3 linked regions of the Rhinolophus ferrumequinum genome follow. The protein of the gene in region 1 purifies or fractionates together with the protein of each later gene. This does not show direct contact. Links are inferred from orthologs where the notes say so. Each region holds a gene or a part of one and is shown in the gene's direction. Other genes may lie near its edges.

Region 1 (3,600 bases):
TATCAAGCCTTTATCCAAGCGCCGGGCTTTTGCAAAGTAATTTACCGTGAATATTTGCTTGTCAAGTACCCCTGGCTGGCTCCGGGCCTAGGAAAGCTGTGGGCTCCCTCGGTACTCGTGCATTCATTCAACTAACATTTCCCAACGTCCGGCTCTGTGCCAGGAGTTGGGTGCCCTCATTTCAGACGATTCTGAGGATGCTTGACGGGCTGTGAAGGACCCTCCGACTTGAGAGCCCCGACTCAGCCGCTGGCCCGCGGGCGCAGCGAGGAACCAACCACCTGGCTGCCAAGCCAGCCTCGGCCTCCAGTAGGGTCCCCGGGTGCTTCGGGGGAGTTGGGCGAGAATAAAGGGGTGGTTTCCTCACCCGTGCCATTATCCAGCCTTGGGCATAAGTCTCAGCCAGGTCACCGGAGCTGGTACAAGTTTGCTCTGCAAGTTGAAGGGGTGGGGGCAATGTCTGGACGCAGGCTGGGTCACCGAGATAGCAGCGCCAGTCCGCGAGGGCTGGGTCCTGACGCACAGCGCTGGGAACTCGCCTCTCGGAACACGAATTCCCAGGAGCGGCCGCCGGCTCCCGCACGCCGCCCCCTCCCCGCTCCGCGCCGTCGCCCGAGCGCTGGGGCCCGCGGGGGCCACCGTGGTCTGCCCCTTCCGCGCGGCTGCCTGCCTGCGGTCCCCGCTGCTGGTTATTCCTCCCTCCTCCTGGCGTTCGGCTCCTCGCGATCCCTCCCCCTGCTCTTGGTCCCTCCTCCTTCCAGCCCAGGCGCCCCGCGCCCCCGCCCCGCGAGCTAGACGTCTGGGCAGCTCCGAGCGCTGCGCCGCGGCAGCAGCCTCCGCCCCCCGCACGGTGTGCACGCCCGCGGCCCCGGCTGCCCGAGTCCCCAGCGAGTCCCCAGCGAGCCTGCCCCGGCGGCCGCCGCCTCCCAGCCCGGACGACAGGCCACCTCCGGAGTCGCCGCCACCACGCACAGCCGCCCGGCTCCGTCTCGGACTAATTGCGGAGAGCGGGAGCGAGCGCCTGGGGGCAGCGATGCGACCCTCGGGGACTGTGGGAGCCGTGCTCCTGCTGCTGCTGGCTGCGCACTTCCCAGGGAGCCCGGCGCTGGAGGAAAAGAGAGGTACGGGCGTGTCCGCGGCCCCGCGCCACCCGGCCCGCAGCCGGCCCTCCTTTCCTGCTTCCTTGAGGAGCGGCTGCGCTGCTGGCCGGGACCGTGGGAGGAACGGGACGTTTCGTTTCTGAACTGGGCGAGTCTGCGGCGGCCCGAGGCGGGGAAGCTGCGGGCGCGGGCTGCGGGCGGGTGTGGGGCGCTCCCCGAGCGCTCGCAACTTTTCCGCGTCACTTTCCTGCCCTCCTGCGCGGGCTTGGCGTCCTAGAGCGAAAGTTGGTGCGGAGCCGGGGGCCGCTCGGGTCCCCGCGGTGCCGGCCGGCGTCCGGGCACGTGCGCCCGCGCTGTCCACTCAAGGGGCCAGGCTCGCGGGGCGCGCCCCCCAAGGGCTTCCGGACGCCCAGGATGCGGGAATCCCTCGGGGGACCTCCCGGGGCTCCCTACACCCGCGTCTTCCACTGAAGCCGGCTCGCTCCTTTCCCGGGCGTGGAGCTGCAGCCTCGAAGTGGGAGGCCCGGAGAGCTCGCCTCTGTCGCTAACTACCTGTGGCTCCCGGCAAGGGACTTAGTGTCCTCTTCGGCTCCTGGGGCGCGCCCCCACCCCCGCACCCCCGAGCTCCCTCCGGATCGTCCGCGGCCCTTGTCCCTCCCGGGAACTCCCGAGGTTTGCCCCCCACCTGCAGCACTTTGGTCACGTCTGTGGGCTTCGGGGTGGAGCGGGGCAGAGCGGTGCGACCGGCTGCAACCGGACAGCTGGGTCCTGGTGCTCACCTGCCTAAGGATCAGGACCCCACAATTTTTCAAAGTAGGGCTCCTATTTTGAAAATCCCGAGATTTTCTCTTTGGGACATTTCTTTTAGCTTTTTTAAAAATTTGACATGGGGCCAATCAAAATATTAAACTTAATTTTAAAAAAAAATGAAAACCGGATTTGGTGCCAAGTGTCCAGAGCGAACATGAGCGAGTCTGGCTTCGTGACTACCGACCATAAACCCACTTGACACAAGAAACATGTCTCAGAAGGTTTAACTGCACAATTTCAAAATCCTGCAGCCGGGTTCCAAGAGTCAGGTCTGTACTTGCAGTTGATGTCATTGGCGCAGGGAGTGGGGTTTGGTCCTGAGGGCGTTCGCTGGGGGAGCGTCAGGGCCGAAAACCGCGCTTCCCAAACTTGGGTGCAAATTAGAATCGCTTGGGATTTAAAACCAAACCGAACCCAAAATAAACAACGATGTCTGGCTCCCACCCCCCAGACATTCGGATTTCCTCGGTCAGGAGTGAGACCTGGCCTTCCGGGTTTGTACAGGCTCCTCAGGTGATTTTGTTGGGCCGCGGGATGTGAGGGATGACAGGCAATGAGTAGGGCGATTCGCAAAGACTCCAACGTCAGATGCTCTTTCTGGACATCGGGAGTTTTACCAGCAGTTGCAAAATACTGTGAGAGGAGACGGAGGTGATTTCAATAATAGTGGATTAGTTTTTTCACCGAAAGCTTTTCCTCCGGAGTCTGACGCCCCCTCTTCCCTGCTGTGAAACGGTCCCTTTGGTCCTGCTCCTGAAATCAGCTGACCAGGGCCGCCTCTCAGGCAGGTCGCTCTTTATTTTCTCTGCAGGGGTCGCCTGTCCTTTACATTAAAGTCTTGGAGCACCTCAAGCATCACTTTTCTCCAGAAATGTCCCCAGTGCGTCGCTGTTACCCCTTTGAACCCCAGGATTAGTGTGTGGAGATCTGTTTCTGAGAAAAATCGAAATACCGCTTAACTTGCCTGTTGGTCCTGTACTTGCTTAAAGCGGAATGCTCCTGAAAAAGAAAATGGTGAGAGTAGGCGAACAAATGTCATTCAGTGAAAGTAACATTAAAGACCAAAATTTAAGGGGTAAGTTATCAAAAATGAGATATGTTTTACCAAAAGTGTTAAAGACCCGTATCAGTCAAATTCAGTTAGTTTTATTCAAGAAAATGTGCTCATTTTAGAGAGATTTGTTTGGCTCTGAGGTATGGTATCGTCTCTTCCTCTTGTACTTAGTACAGTCAGACACGAGTTTGACTGTCCTATCAATCCTTGTGACTCTTCCATCATGCATATGAGGGGAAACTGAGGTACAGAGAAGTAAAGTGACTTTGGCATAGCTTGTGAGAGGCAGGACCAGGATTTAAACGTAGGCCATTTTGCCCAGAACCCTCTGCGGCCAGCCATCTCCACTGCTGTGTGTGAGTTCTGGTTTCAGGAGCGCCCGTTCAGGTGTGTGTGAGCATCTAATGTCAGCTGCTGGGAGGGGGAGGGAATGGACCAGGGGCTGGGCTTCTTAGGATGGTCCCTTCTGTGAACTTGGAACAAGCCGCCGCCTGGTCAGCAGTCTAGACCCCTGCCCACAGTTACTCAGTAGTTGCTCCGGCTGCCTTTCCTGGTGGCAACTCAGTCACCAAACCAGCAATGAACGTGGAGATCGCTCAAGGAATGTTGAACAAGCCCCTTGTTCTTGCAAAATGG
Region 2 (6,508 bases), on another chromosome or scaffold:
GCAGCTTTGCTGCAGGAAGGATCTTCTTTCAGACTCTCCACCTTGAGTGGCCTTCTGTCCCTTCCTTCAGAAAACAACAACAACAACAAGAGAAAACAACACAACAACAAACCTGAATTCTTTAATTTGGCAAATTCCCTTCATGCAAAGGTGACTGCAATGTTTCGAATATACCTCTCTAGTTTTCTGACTTCATTTAGATTTTGGCCGGTTAATTCTTTTTTTGGGGGGGGAGGAAGGGTTACAGGATTTTATTGGGGAACAGTGTGTACTTCCAGGATTTTTTCCAAGTCAAATTGTTGTCCTTTCAATCTTAGTTGTGGAGGGCGCAGCTCAACTCCAGGTCCAGTTGCCGTTGCTAGTTGCAGGGGGCACAGCCCACCATCCCTTGTGGGAGTCCAACCGGCAACCTTGTGGTTGAGAGGACGCGCTCCAACCAACTGAGCCATCCGGGAGCTCAGCGGCAGCTCAGCTCAGGGTGCCGTGTTCAATCTTAGTTGCCCGCGCTCCAACCAACTGAGCCATCTGGCACTGGCACATGTGGGAATCAAACGGGCAGCCCTTGGCGTTAGGAGCACGGAGCTTCAACCGGAGCCACCGGGCCGGCTTGGCCGGTTAATTCTTTACTGTCTTGTTGGCTTTACCATGCTTTTAAGAAGGAAAATACTTACATTTTACTCAGGACTTTCAGTTTTTAGTATGAGGATAACCAACCATATTGAAGAAAACAGAAGACGGTTAGCATTCCTAGCACAAGTTTTTATTTTCTTTAGAATTGCTATCTTTTCCCCTTTCACCTTTCTACATGCTTATCACTTAATATTGCCCCACACTCTCCTCTGCTTATACAAATGTCTTCTCAATAAGTTCAAATGCATTAGGTATTCTATCAATTGTATTTCTTAAATAAATCATTCCCAAATCCTCTGAACTGCTTTAATCTTGATGAATTGATCTTTAGGCCTGCTCTACAATTTGGAATCTCCATTTACTTTTGCTTTGGGGATTCCTTTTGTTTCTTTTCTGTGCTGGATCCCTCATTTCTTGAGGGATCCCTCCATACTGTTCTCTTTTTTGACTTACTGACTTGTCTTGATATAATAAATCCTTTCCAGTCTTTCTGAAAAACAATGCCTAGAGTATCAATATTTTGAGGGTTCACATATCTGAAATTATCTTTATTTTGGACTTACGATTAAATCCATTTGGCTGAATGTAGTATTCTACGTTGGAAATAATTTCCTTCTAAATTTTGAAGGCATTTCTTCATTGTCTTCTCCCTTACGGTGTTGATGAATTGATAAGCCTAACGCTGTTCTGATTTTTGATCTTTGTATGCAACTTGTTCTTTCTCTCTGGAAACTTTGGAATTGTTTCTCTGTGCCTGATGTTTTGATAGTGTATAATGATGTATCTTGGTGTGGGCCTGATTTGTTTTGCTGGATACTTAGTGTGCCCTTTCAATTTAGAGGCTCAGTTCTTCATTTCAGGAGAATACTTTAAAATAATTTCTTTGATTATTTCTTCCCTCTGATTCTCTGTTCTCTTTCCAGGCCTGGAGAGATCCTCTTATTTTTATTAATTTTCTCCTAAAGTAGAGTAATTTGATCTTCAACTTTATCCTCCAGTCTTTCCATTGAATTTTTATTTCTGCTATCATGGTTTTGATTTCCAAGAGTTCTTTTTCCTTATCTGAATTGTAGTTACTTTTTTTTTTTTTAAAGATTTTTATTGGGGAAGGGGAACAGGACTTTATTGGGGAACAGTGTGTACTTCCAGGCCTTTTTTTTCCAAGTCAAGTTGTTGTCCTTTCAGTCTTAGTTGTGGAGGGCACAGCTCAGCTCCAGGTCCAGTTGCCGTTTCCTAGTTGCAGGGGGCACAGCCCACCATCCCTTGCGGGAGTCCAGGAATTGAACTGGCAACCTTGTGGTTGAGAGCCCACAGGCCCCATGTGGAAATCGAACCGGCAGCCTTCGGAGTTAGGAGCATGGAGCTCTAACCGCCTGAACCACCCGGGCTGGCCTGTAGTTACTTTTAAAATAGCTTCCTGTTGTTATGTGGTGGATACAATATATTATCTCTCTGAGGACATTAATGATGGATTTATTTAAGTCTTTTTCTCCCTTGCAATTTTTGTTTCTTCTAAATTTATTTTTTTCTTCTTGCTTGTTTTGCTTTCTTTCTTGTCTTTTTAAAAGACTTTCCCTAACTGTCTAATTATCTTTGGCTGTCTACTTATATTTAAGAGTGAGGACATTATAAAGCTTATTGGAAAAATCGTGTGAGAGCTGGACATGTAGACCAAGGCTTCATTGTAGGATTCCTTCATCTATTTCATTAAGAGGACCCTAATGAGAGTCTCTTTGAGACTTCTCTTTTGGGTTGGTCAGATTCCCCGGAGAAGTTTTCTAGGTACAATCATGCTCATGTTTACCTTTGTTTAGGAATCAATTTCTCAGGTTTGCTAAACCAGTTACCATTCTTACATTTGCTTTCTAACTTCTGAAATGTTGCTGCTGTTGTCTCCTTCTCTTTCTCGTTGGTCTTACAAGGTCTGGAGGATAATTTGTGTATTTGCCTTTCCCTCTCCCCAGTCTTTAACTGGAAGCCCCCATTATTTATTTATGATAATTTTATTGGAGGAAAACATATTGTACAGACAGAATCGTATAGAAAGGTTTTGACACAAATTACCAGATTGCCCTAAAGTTGTATGCATATATGAAAAGAGGAGCGCTTTTATATAATTATTTTGCAACAAGTATTAAGTATCTTTCAGGGGTTTTGCGTGCATCCACCCATTGGCCTCAAGCCTCCACCCGATGGGGACAAACTACAGTGCAAGAAACGACTGAAAAAAAGTAATAAGAAATGATGCGGGTGACAGCTGTGCGAAGACAGAAAACTGCTTAAAAGGGCCCAGCATAGACCACGCCTTTCTGGAAGTGGGAGTGAGTGGGAGGAGGTCTTATCTCGTCGATGGTTGGTTAGCCTCTCGAACCAATTACGAGCAGCGAGTGATTTTGCCAATGGTCGTGATCCACCTCCCCGTGGGCTTTGAAGTCACGTTTACAAATGGGAATAAGGTAGGTGAGAGGGACAGAACATCTAGCCAATGAAATTTTGGGGCGTTAATGGGCGTGGTGAGGCTGCTGCCAGGTTTAGGGCGGAAGGAGTCGTTCTGGATAAGGAGGGGAACGAAAGATGGCGGCAGAAACGCTGCTGTCCAGGCTGTTGGGGCTTCTGCTTTTGGGGCTCCTGTTACCTGCAAGTCTGACCGGCTGTGTCGGGAGCCTGAACCTGGAAGAACTGAGTGAGATGCGTTATGGGATCGAGATCCTGCCGCTGCCTGTCATGGGAGGGCAGGTAAGGAGGCGTAGAGCGGGCAAGGGTCCGGGGCAAGGGGAAGGGGGAAAAGTACAGGAAGAAGGGCAGCTAAGGAGAAAGCCGAAGGAGCGGCGGGAGAATCAGGAAGAGTAGGTAGGAGTTTTACGATGTCTCCTGAGTATCGCAGACTGAGACCCATTCCCTTGGGGCCAGGGACTGGGAGGGGTGGGGCTTCCCGCTGTCAGCTTCAGGTCCTAGTTCCTGATCGAAACCACCCCCCCGACTCCGCCCCTATGGAGCAGTGGGTGTGCCCTCTCCCGTCACCTGCTAAACAAAGCTTTAGGAGGACTTGTGGCTCATTCTGTCTTGACTGGGCTTTCCCCCGGGGTCTGAAGAGGATCTTGTTGTTCTGCCTGATCCTAGGCTCTCTTTGCCTCCCTGTCCACCTATTCTCCCTTCTTTCCCAGAGCCAAGCTTCAGACGTGGTGATTGTCTCCTCTAAGTACAAACAGCGCTATGAATGTCGCCTGCCAGCTGGAGCTATTCACTTCCAGCGTGAAAGGGAGGAGGAGACACCTGCTTACCAAGGGCCTGGGATCCCTGAGTTGTTGAGCCCAATGAAAGATGCTCCCTGCCTGCTGAAGGTGAAAAGGACTGGGATGTATGGAATGAGGGCTTGGGTACTAACTCTATCTGAGAACCAGAGTGCCAGAGAGTAAGGCTGGATAGGGAGGACTTGTCAAAGTTAAGAAGGCCATTGGAGGAGTATACATTGTACAGACAGGAAAGAAACGAAGAATTTTGCAACCACTGGTGACACTTCGCTGAATGTAGAGTAGGGTTAGGATAGAAGATCTCAAAATAAGGGTTAAGCCAAGGGTTGACCCTAAAGAGGGTCAGTGTGGGGTAGGAGGGGCACTCCTCTAGAGAAGCTTTCCTGGTAAAATCACCCCCTGCCCCTATCACTGTCTGCCCCAGTATCCTATTTCATTTTCATCATGGCACTTTTCATGATCTGAAATTATCTTACTAACTGAATCATCAGTGTATTTATTTTTGGTCTAGTCCCAGCACTAAAGGCCATGAGGTCAGAGAATTTTTCTTGTTCATAGCTGTATCCCCAGTGACAGAACAGCACGGGAATGTTGTAGAAGTTAAATTAATATTGTAATATTTTATGTTTCCCTGGTCTTAGTGCTTCAAGGATATCATGATTTCTTATCTTTATGGAGAGCAAAAAGGATTAAAAAATCATTAAAAAGGTAGGCTTAAAAAGCCCACAGGTGGAAAACAGACTTTATAAGTATCTCTCTGAGTCACAGCCCTCCCTCCTTATTGAGAATCTGGCGAATTGAGTGTGGAAGCAGAGGGAGATGAGAAGTAGGTGATAGGTTATGTGTCTTGGAGCCAGGAGAGATTCTGGTTCCAAGAAGAGACATCTGCACTCCATCCCCCTGACTGTTTATTTTTTTATTGTCAGACCAAGGACTGGTGGACATATGAATTCTGTTATGGACGACACATCCAGCAGTATCACATGGAAGGTGACTCACACCTCCATTTTCCCTAAGCCCTTAGCAACCTGTCATGGAAGGTGACCTGCCTTCTCAGTCCTCTTCCCTCCTAGTCCTCTTAGAAGGGAGTAACCATAATTTGCTGTGGTTTCTCTTGCAGATTCAGAGATCAAAGGTGAAGTTCTGTATCTCGGCTACTACCAATCGGCCTTCGACTGGGATGATGAAACAGCCAAGGTGGCAGGAGTGTGGGATTGGGAGAAAAAGGGGTCCTGGCTGCAGATTAAGAGCCCTGAAAAGAAGGGGAGGGTTAGAATTAGCTGTTTCCTGGGGTTTGGTGGCCGTTAGGACAAGGTACTATTCTTGCCTTCTTGCTGTCTTTCTTATCCCACCGCTCCTGCCTGATGTCCTCTCCAGGCTTCCAAGCAGCATCGCCTGAAACGCTACCACAGCCAGACCTATGTCAATGGATCCAAGTGTGACCTCAATGGGAGACCCCGGGAGGCCGAGGTTCGGGTGAGTTTTGAAAGAGGGAAGTTGATACTCCCTCAGTGACATTGCAGATTCTAATAGAAGAGGACAAGGTTGCATTGTACAGTCATGAGGGTCTCTCTCAGACCCTAAACCCAAGTTTAAGACTCTTATTTCTAGTTGCCAGCTGGATATCACTGCTTGGATATTCAGAAACACTTCTAGTCAACATTTCCCAAGTCTTCCCCTCCGAACATCCAACCACACTTATTCTTTTTTTCAATGTTTCTCCTTTCTGTCACCTAATCTAGAAACCTGAAGGTCATTGTTGATCCTTCCTTCTCCTTCACTGTGTTCTCCTTTCTTCAGTAGGTTTTGGGCTCTGCTCTGGGAATAAAGTGGTAGGCAAACACACAGCCCCTGCACTCGTGGAGTGCATAGTCTAGAAAGGAAGACAGATGTTAACAAAAGAACCACAGAAATGAGTCTGTGATTACAAACTGAGGAGTGCTATAAAGGAAAGGGATCTAGTTCTCTCGTAAATGCCAAAGCATGTCCAGTCTATTCTAGATTTCTCTCACAACTTTCTTCTTTCCTATGCTTGGTACCTTCATCTCTCACCTGCATCACTGCCAACAGCCTCTTAACAAGTGTTTCTGGTGCAGTGGTCCTCAATGAGTTCAGGCAGGCAGGCAGATGTATGGTGAGAAAAGTTCCTTAGGTGATTCTAATGTGTGTTCACAAATGTACACACCTGTAGAGAACCACATAACAAGAATTACCTTTCTGTAATACAGATTTGCACATACAATTGTGTGCTGGTAAATGTTGCACATCCACAGCATTAGGGTAGGGTAAGGGGCGTGGAGAGGGGCGTCCTGATTTATAATATTTGCCAATATCCATGTTATAAATATTCCCACCATGGTCAAATTAATGCTATTACCATGATGTCAACTGTCTTGCAACGTTGCTGAAAATTTGCTAGTTGGGTCTTGTGAACTGGTGTGAGCTGGCTCCAACATGATACTATAAGCATGTGTCGCTTCTCCGCCCAGTCCTCGAAAAGTTTTGATGATTCTGCCGTGTTCAGAGGATAAGATCCAAATATTTCAACCGAGACCAGAGTGGTAGCAGTAGAGGTGGTAGGAAGCAGTTGGGATTCTGGATATATTTTGAAGGTAGAGCCAATTAGA
Region 3 (6,508 bases), on another chromosome or scaffold:
AGGAGGAATGTGGACCCCAAGAAGAAAGATTTATTTGAGAAGAAAGATTTATTTGACGTGAACGCCGAGGAGGAATTTATCTGCTGAGATGGACTCCCCATGGTTAACTGAGTGCTCCAATTTTATAAATAATAACAGGCTAGTGGCCATTTGTTGACCAGAAAGAGCGCCAGACTGAACTCTAGACTTCCTAGACTGAGTCAACAACTACAAAGGAGTTCCTGTTTTCGTCTTTCAACCAAATGGACTAAGACCTGTCCCCTCTAATCAGAACCGCTCCATAACAACCAATCAGGAAACATATTGTTGATCAATCAGGACTGCTAAATTCGGACCAATCAGAAATGTACAAATTTGGGTACTTCATTTACATAAAACAGACCTAATTGGGAACCTGGGTGGGAATTTTCAAAGGCAGCCTCCCCTTTGTCCTGGTGGAACACAATGTAGGTTGCTCCTTGAATCTGTGTCTTCAGGTCTGCAGCTCCTTTTATTCAAATAAATGCTTTTTATTCTTTATTAGTCTAAAATTTAATTTTGGTTTACATGTAGAATCATGAGTCTAGGGCTCCAGCCTACCAATTTACTAGTTATGTGACTTAGGATAAGTTACTTAAAACAGATCCTCCTTGGTTTCCTTATATGTAAATTAAAAATGGTGATGATGATAATACCTGCTCTATCCCTACAAGGTTAAGAGGACCAAACAAAGTAGAAAAGATATATGAAGGCATACTGTAAACCATAATGAAGCATATAATTCTTTATAGAGTTGTTGTGAAGATTAATGTCTGAACACTTAGAACACATAATAAATGATGAAAAATGTTGACAATGCACAATTGGCATTTTATATTAGTCTTAGATGAGAAACTGCCCATCCCCTCATGGACTGGTGAACAGAATACGGAATGGTCAAATTTAATATCCCTTTCAGGTCCTCTTCAGTTGGATTCCATGTACTTCTTTATTCCATAATAATGTGAGTTTACAAAACTGAAAGAGATTTTTAAAATCCTAGGTATTTGAGCTACCATAAAGGGTCAGTGTTACTAAGTCAATGGTAGATAAGCTGTGGATACTAAATAGGCTGTAAATAAGCTTCATATGATACTTAACATATGAAGAATCCACAAAATGAACTTATAAATGAAAAGGGCAAATAAAGACAGTAACTGTAAGAGACCGTATTTTGATGTTCTTTAAGATGAGGCATTGCGATATACTGAACATGTTAAAGCCTTTGGAGCCACTCAGACTAGGATTAGTATTGACCTCCATAGTGCACAGTTGACCTACACTGCTAATGTAATAAGCATCCACGCAATTATTCACTTACTGATTTGTAACTAGTCTGGCACTGTACTAGACTCAGGGAATACAATGTAATGGATAGGGACAGCAATCCTAGTCTGACATTCTGAAGGAGGAAATTGCAAACTGTGATGCAAAAGTGATTCAAAATAACTTTGTATATGAAATAGCTGGTGCAGTGTCTTGTACCTGGTGGGTTGCTAAATAAATGTAGCTGTTACATTGTTACATTAAGTTTATTCTACTTCTCTTCCCATTCCTCCCTCCAACTTTTGTTTGTTCTTCACTGTAGTCCCAGTGACTGCAACCTAGTCTGTATTCAGCACTTATTGAATAATCAACAGTGAAACCTAAGTATCAATTACTTATTGTGTGCCAAACACCCGTATTAACTCAATCCTCACAATAACACTTAGAGGTCAGTATTTTAATCATCCCAATTTTACAGATGAGTAAATAGAAACAGATTATGTACCATGCCTGAAACTGAGGTCAACAACTAGTGAACGGGGTGCTGGGATTCGAATATAGGCAGCGTGAGCCTATACTGCCTCGAGGCTTTATTAATAAATTAATAAATCAGTGAATGAGTAAACAAAGTTAACAGTAGCATAGAACCTACGACTAAGATTGCCTAAGAATGCTCTTCTTTTCACAAAGGACGAAATATTAGTACGTTTAAAGTGAAATTCAAAAATTTCACTTTAAAACGCTGAAGCGCTCATCGGAGTATAGAGTAAGTATAAAGTAATTAGTCGCTAGTATGAGTAGTAACATGTGGGACCACGGAACAGCAATTAAACAACCGACTCATACGTGGTTTGGACCACGTCATCCGGATCTCGGGACTCTAATCTATCAACTAACTGACGAAGCCCACCCGCGAGGCTCGGACCCCGCGCAGAAGGGACTGGGTTCAACACCCCCAGCAGGATTCAGGCCGGATCCCAGCATGCACCACAGGCCCGAGCGACCACACCTCCCGGCGAGCGCCTGGGAGCGCGTGTGCGCCCCGCCGCCCGGAAGCACCGCCTGCACGTTGCATGCTGGAGTTGTAGGCTCCCGGCCCCAGCCTGCCGGCTGCCGTCTGCTCTCTCCATGAGGCTGCTGGCGCTGGCCCGCGCGGCACCGACGCTGGGAGCGCGCTTCGCGCTGACTCAGCGGCGACGGCGGTGGCGGCGTTGGCCGGGCCCTCGCGCTCCTTCCTTTCCTGGGGCGCTGACCCCGCCTGCTTGCCTATGCTAGCTTGCCGGCCCGGCGCCACGCGAGAGAAGGTGCTAGGGGACGCGGAGCGGCGAGAGGCGCTTGGTCCCGGCCAGCTCCGTCTCCAGCGTTAGCGCTGCGCCGTGGCGGAGACCGACGGCAACAAGGACGAGGGCCGCTCTCCCCGCTCCCAGCGTGCGGCGCCGCTCGGCTGACCGGCACTCGGGAGTGCAGGCGGGGAGGCGGGATGGAGTGATAGGGAAGGTGACTCGGGGTTTGGGGGGCAGCGGGACTCGGACCCGGCTCGCTTCGCGAGAGGCTGCGTGGAAGTTGGCTGGGAGGACTGGCCGCGGGAGCCCCCACGCTGGGGAGGGGTGCGGGCCGGGGGCCCTCCATGGCGGTGTGCCGGGAGGTTGGGCGGACTGGGTGGGGGTGGGTACTAGCCGTGGCCGCCGCGGAGCGCGTCCCGAGTGCGTGGCCGCCGGTTGCCGGGTGTTTCATCACCCAAATTGCCACGAGGCTTCCTTTAGGGGAGGGATCCGGAGGGAGCAAGGCGACGAGGCCAGCGGAGGAGGGTCGGCATCGCTTGTGGCCCCCTATTTAGTAAAAGTGGCCAAGCCCATTTGTAGTAGCTGCGTGTTTCAGCAGTTGCAACTGCAGAGGGCTTTAACTTGATTCGCCCCCCGCCCCAGGACAAAAAAGAGAAAAGTGTGTGTGTGTAGTAATTTGCCAGCAGAGACACGCCATTTCTTCTCGTCCCTTCCTCACAATTCTGCAGGAGTGGTATTTCCTGTAACGAGAAAAGAAATACTTTTTGAAAGTACTAATTAGTTTTTATTGGGGGAAGTTACGTTTTATTAAAGCGACTTGTCAGCGTGGTGTTAAAAAGGCTGGAAAGATTCAGTCCTGATCTTTGAACAGTCTTGTGAGCGTGGAAGAATTTTTCCAAATTGTTTAATTCTTGATTTAATGGCTAGCTAGGAAAAGTTAGGGGTTAGAATTTTAAGTATGTTGCTCGCCTTCCTCCCAGAACATTTGCTAAATGCGTAATTGAAGTGTTTATCGCATTGTAACAAATATTTAAACCTGCAGGACTGTGCCGTGTTAGAACATTATGTGTTTACAACAGCACAGCCTTTTACAAGGGGAAAACTGTCACCTTTTCGCAGAAGTTGTAACTTCTCAGGTGTTTGCACACACGTGGGTAATTATCTGTTCCATTGCATAGTGATTATTATCCAAGTGCTTCCTCTTTGAAGGATTCTTTCTTGTACTGACAACTGTAACAAGTTTGTTTGCCTCAGGTAGTTTTTATTTGCCACGTTTTATCTTAGGACCACCCTGTGTTCCCTTGATAGAATCAAAGTGACTTGACCAGCTTAAACAGTTTTCCCTAAAGCCATGCCAAATTCAAGGAATCTTTTATCGGACTTCTCAAGCTTGGACTTTCTAGAAACTGAATTTGTCTTTTCTTTCTGTGTGTGCATTTTTCAGGAGACTCATCATCACATTTTCTTGTAATTTTTGGCTGAGGGGGCGGATAGAGGTGGAGAGGAACCACTGCCTTTGAGTTTTCACATCTGTTTTAAAATGCCAATTTACTAATATGACATTTAATCTAGAATACTTGTAGTTCCCATCTACTGTGTCTAGTTCTGAATTGTAAATAACGTATTAAGGACCCACTGTGCCAGGCATACCTTCATGTCATTGAAGTCTTTACAACTTTATAAGGCAGAAGCTCTTTTTCCCATTTTATGGAAAGGGCTCTCGGATTTCATAGTTGTTCGTTCACGTGGGCCCCACTTTGAAAATGACGGGATTGGAGTACAAATCCATGTCTTCCTAAATCCAAACCTCTGTTCCGTTGTATCCTAGATGCATAGTTATGAGTATTCAAGACAATCAGTCGTTGCCCTTTAAGGTTAGCCAGAGAAAACTTGGTAAGCAGGTGGTGACTATCAGCTCTTAGGAGGGACATCTAATCCAATTTGAGAGAGTTGGATGATAGGGGTCAAAGAAGCCTGGGAGAGGTGACCTCTCAGCTGAATTCTGAAGGACTGGCAGGGGTTAACCAAGAACAAGAAAGAAGCAGTATGGGGGCAGATGAAAGGCAGAATACCACTGCTTGGATCTTAATCTTCAGGCCAGTGGGGAACTACACTACCTTGCTGGAGTCCTGCAAGTGCAATAGTACCCATGAAAAGGGCCGAGCCGGCTTCTCCCCAGCCTCAGCACATACCCTGAGTTGCTGTTCCATCAGGCAGGCCCAGGGGAGGACTAAAGCACACTGTAGTGGGGTTCCTTAACCTGCATCCTGATCCTGGCCGCACAGTTCCAAAAAGGCTGTTACCCCTACCTCCCAACCCCTTGCCCATTGGCCTGTTTAGGCGTTTGTGTTCTCTGTGTTATAATTCAAAACAACGCCACACAGCCTTTTAATGGGACTAGTAAGGCCTGTTCTCCCTACCTCACAGGTCTTGAGAGAATAAATGTAATTTTTGCATTTATTTGAGTTTGTTCCTTGTTTCTTCCAGTAAATACACATTCTCTCAAAAACCATGTTGTTCTCTTGGGACCTCCGTACCGTGTTCTTATTTGACACTGGATTGTGAAAAAAATGCATTACTTTCCAGAGACTGAAAAAAAAAATGTTCTTAAGAATAGTGTTAGGTATTTATAAAATTTTATAACGACTAAAAAAAACACTGAAATGAATTTCTAGAATTGGCTGGCAAGAGCAGCAACCTGTAAAAGATAGAGCTAGCCCATTGTTCAAAAGCTAAATGGACTGGGTTTTGACTCATACTCTTTTTCATTTGACCTCTTGAAGTACTTGTAGGCACTCCAATAAGAATATTGAACTCTGAGGTCGCTGTTTAGTCAGCTATTCCATTTTTTCCCCTTAAAGTTTGTGATATTGATAAATGGAAGTAGGCAAATGTTTATAATTATCTTAATCTGGATTTGTCATTTTTTTCATGTAGTTGGACAATTGCACTTTTTAAATACTCACTGGAGATATATATTAAAAACTTGCATAAAGTAGATGCTCCACTGTTTGAAGTAGGAAATAATTATTTTCTGTGCTTTATTGATGGTCTTGAATAAGAAAATTTGAGAACCTTAATGACATTACTTTACGTCTTTAGAAATTACACATTCATGGAGTACTTAGCAGGCCCATTTTTCTGAGTCTTAGATTCCTTTAGTTGTAATTTGAATTGTTTTCAAAAGAAGTTCTTTGAACACTTAAACTTCTTTGCATAATATTTTCCACTTGTTAGGGTATTCTGGCTAAGCATCTATTTTGTTTATCAAGCGTTGTGTTTCTTTCCATTGTGTGCACGTGCAGATGTTTGCAGATCCTTCTGTGGGGTCAGTGGGCACGTCTGTTGCCATCGGAAAGCTGCTCGCATAGCCACATAGCCGCATAGCTGCTGGGATGGATGAGCAGGCTCTGTTAGGGCTCAGTCCAAATGCCGATTCAGACTTCAGACAAAGGGGTAAGTTAAGCTGCCTTAGTGATTTTTTCAAAGCATGTTACCATAGATTTGCATTAGAAGACTTGAGTAAAAACACATTCTGATAACAAAGATTTAATTTGGGTACAATGAACAGAGGTAACCCAATTGAGCTCTTTGGATATATTCTGAATACAGAAGACAGTGAGGGTTGTGATTTACTTTCTGTTTAGTGGTCTCAACAAAAGTTAAAATCTCATGTGATTCAAGGTAGGTCTTTATGTCACATCAATCAACTATTTTTAAAGTTGTAACACAAGGGACTGTTCAGGGGACTTTCCATAATCGCAGACATGCATATTTTATTTTCCCATCACATGAGTTGGTCTACACCAGTTGTTAACCCTCGCATTAGTGCTATTTAGCATCCTTATTAATTAGTCCAACCAGACATGTAAATAGGCAGTTATGATATGCCACGTCTTAGGTTACTTAAAATGATCACATGATTAAGGAATGCAATATGA

The links.
Region 2: the proteins of EGFR (region 1) and OS9 purify together in Homo sapiens (affinity purification with mass spectrometry; 3 studies listed by BioGRID and IntAct, with this or other methods). This does not show direct contact. The link is inferred for Rhinolophus ferrumequinum from reciprocal best matches to the Homo sapiens genes EGFR and OS9.
Region 3: the proteins of EGFR (region 1) and XPOT purify together in Homo sapiens (affinity purification with mass spectrometry; 4 studies listed by BioGRID and IntAct, with this or other methods). This does not show direct contact. The link is inferred for Rhinolophus ferrumequinum from reciprocal best matches to the Homo sapiens genes EGFR and XPOT.

Annotation. Positions count from the first base shown.
Region 1 is NC_046303.1:4,399,707-4,403,306, forward strand, and holds the start of EGFR (epidermal growth factor receptor), read left to right. Parts: upstream 1-807; 5' UTR 808-1,033; coding exon 1,034-1,121; intron 1,122-3,600. UniProt on the Homo sapiens protein: Receptor tyrosine kinase binding ligands of the EGF family and activating several signaling cascades to convert extracellular cues into appropriate cellular responses.
Region 2 is NC_046293.1:56,600,070-56,606,577, forward strand, and holds the start of OS9 (protein OS-9), read left to right. Parts: upstream 1-3,162; 5' UTR 3,163-3,204; coding exon 3,205-3,366; intron 3,367-3,794; coding exon 3,795-3,971; intron 3,972-4,807; coding exon 4,808-4,871; intron 4,872-5,001; coding exon 5,002-5,078; intron 5,079-5,258; coding exon 5,259-5,357; intron 5,358-6,508. UniProt on the Homo sapiens protein: Lectin component of the HRD1 complex, which functions in endoplasmic reticulum (ER) quality control and ER-associated degradation (ERAD).
Region 3 is NC_046293.1:61,441,768-61,448,275, forward strand, and holds the start of XPOT (exportin-T), read left to right. Parts: upstream 1-2,374; 5' UTR 2,375-2,781; intron 2,782-5,872; 5' UTR 5,873-5,962; coding exon 5,963-6,023; intron 6,024-6,508. UniProt on the Homo sapiens protein: Mediates the nuclear export of aminoacylated tRNAs. In the nucleus binds to tRNA and to the GTPase Ran in its active GTP-bound form. Docking of this trimeric complex to the nuclear pore complex (NPC) is mediated through binding to nucleoporins.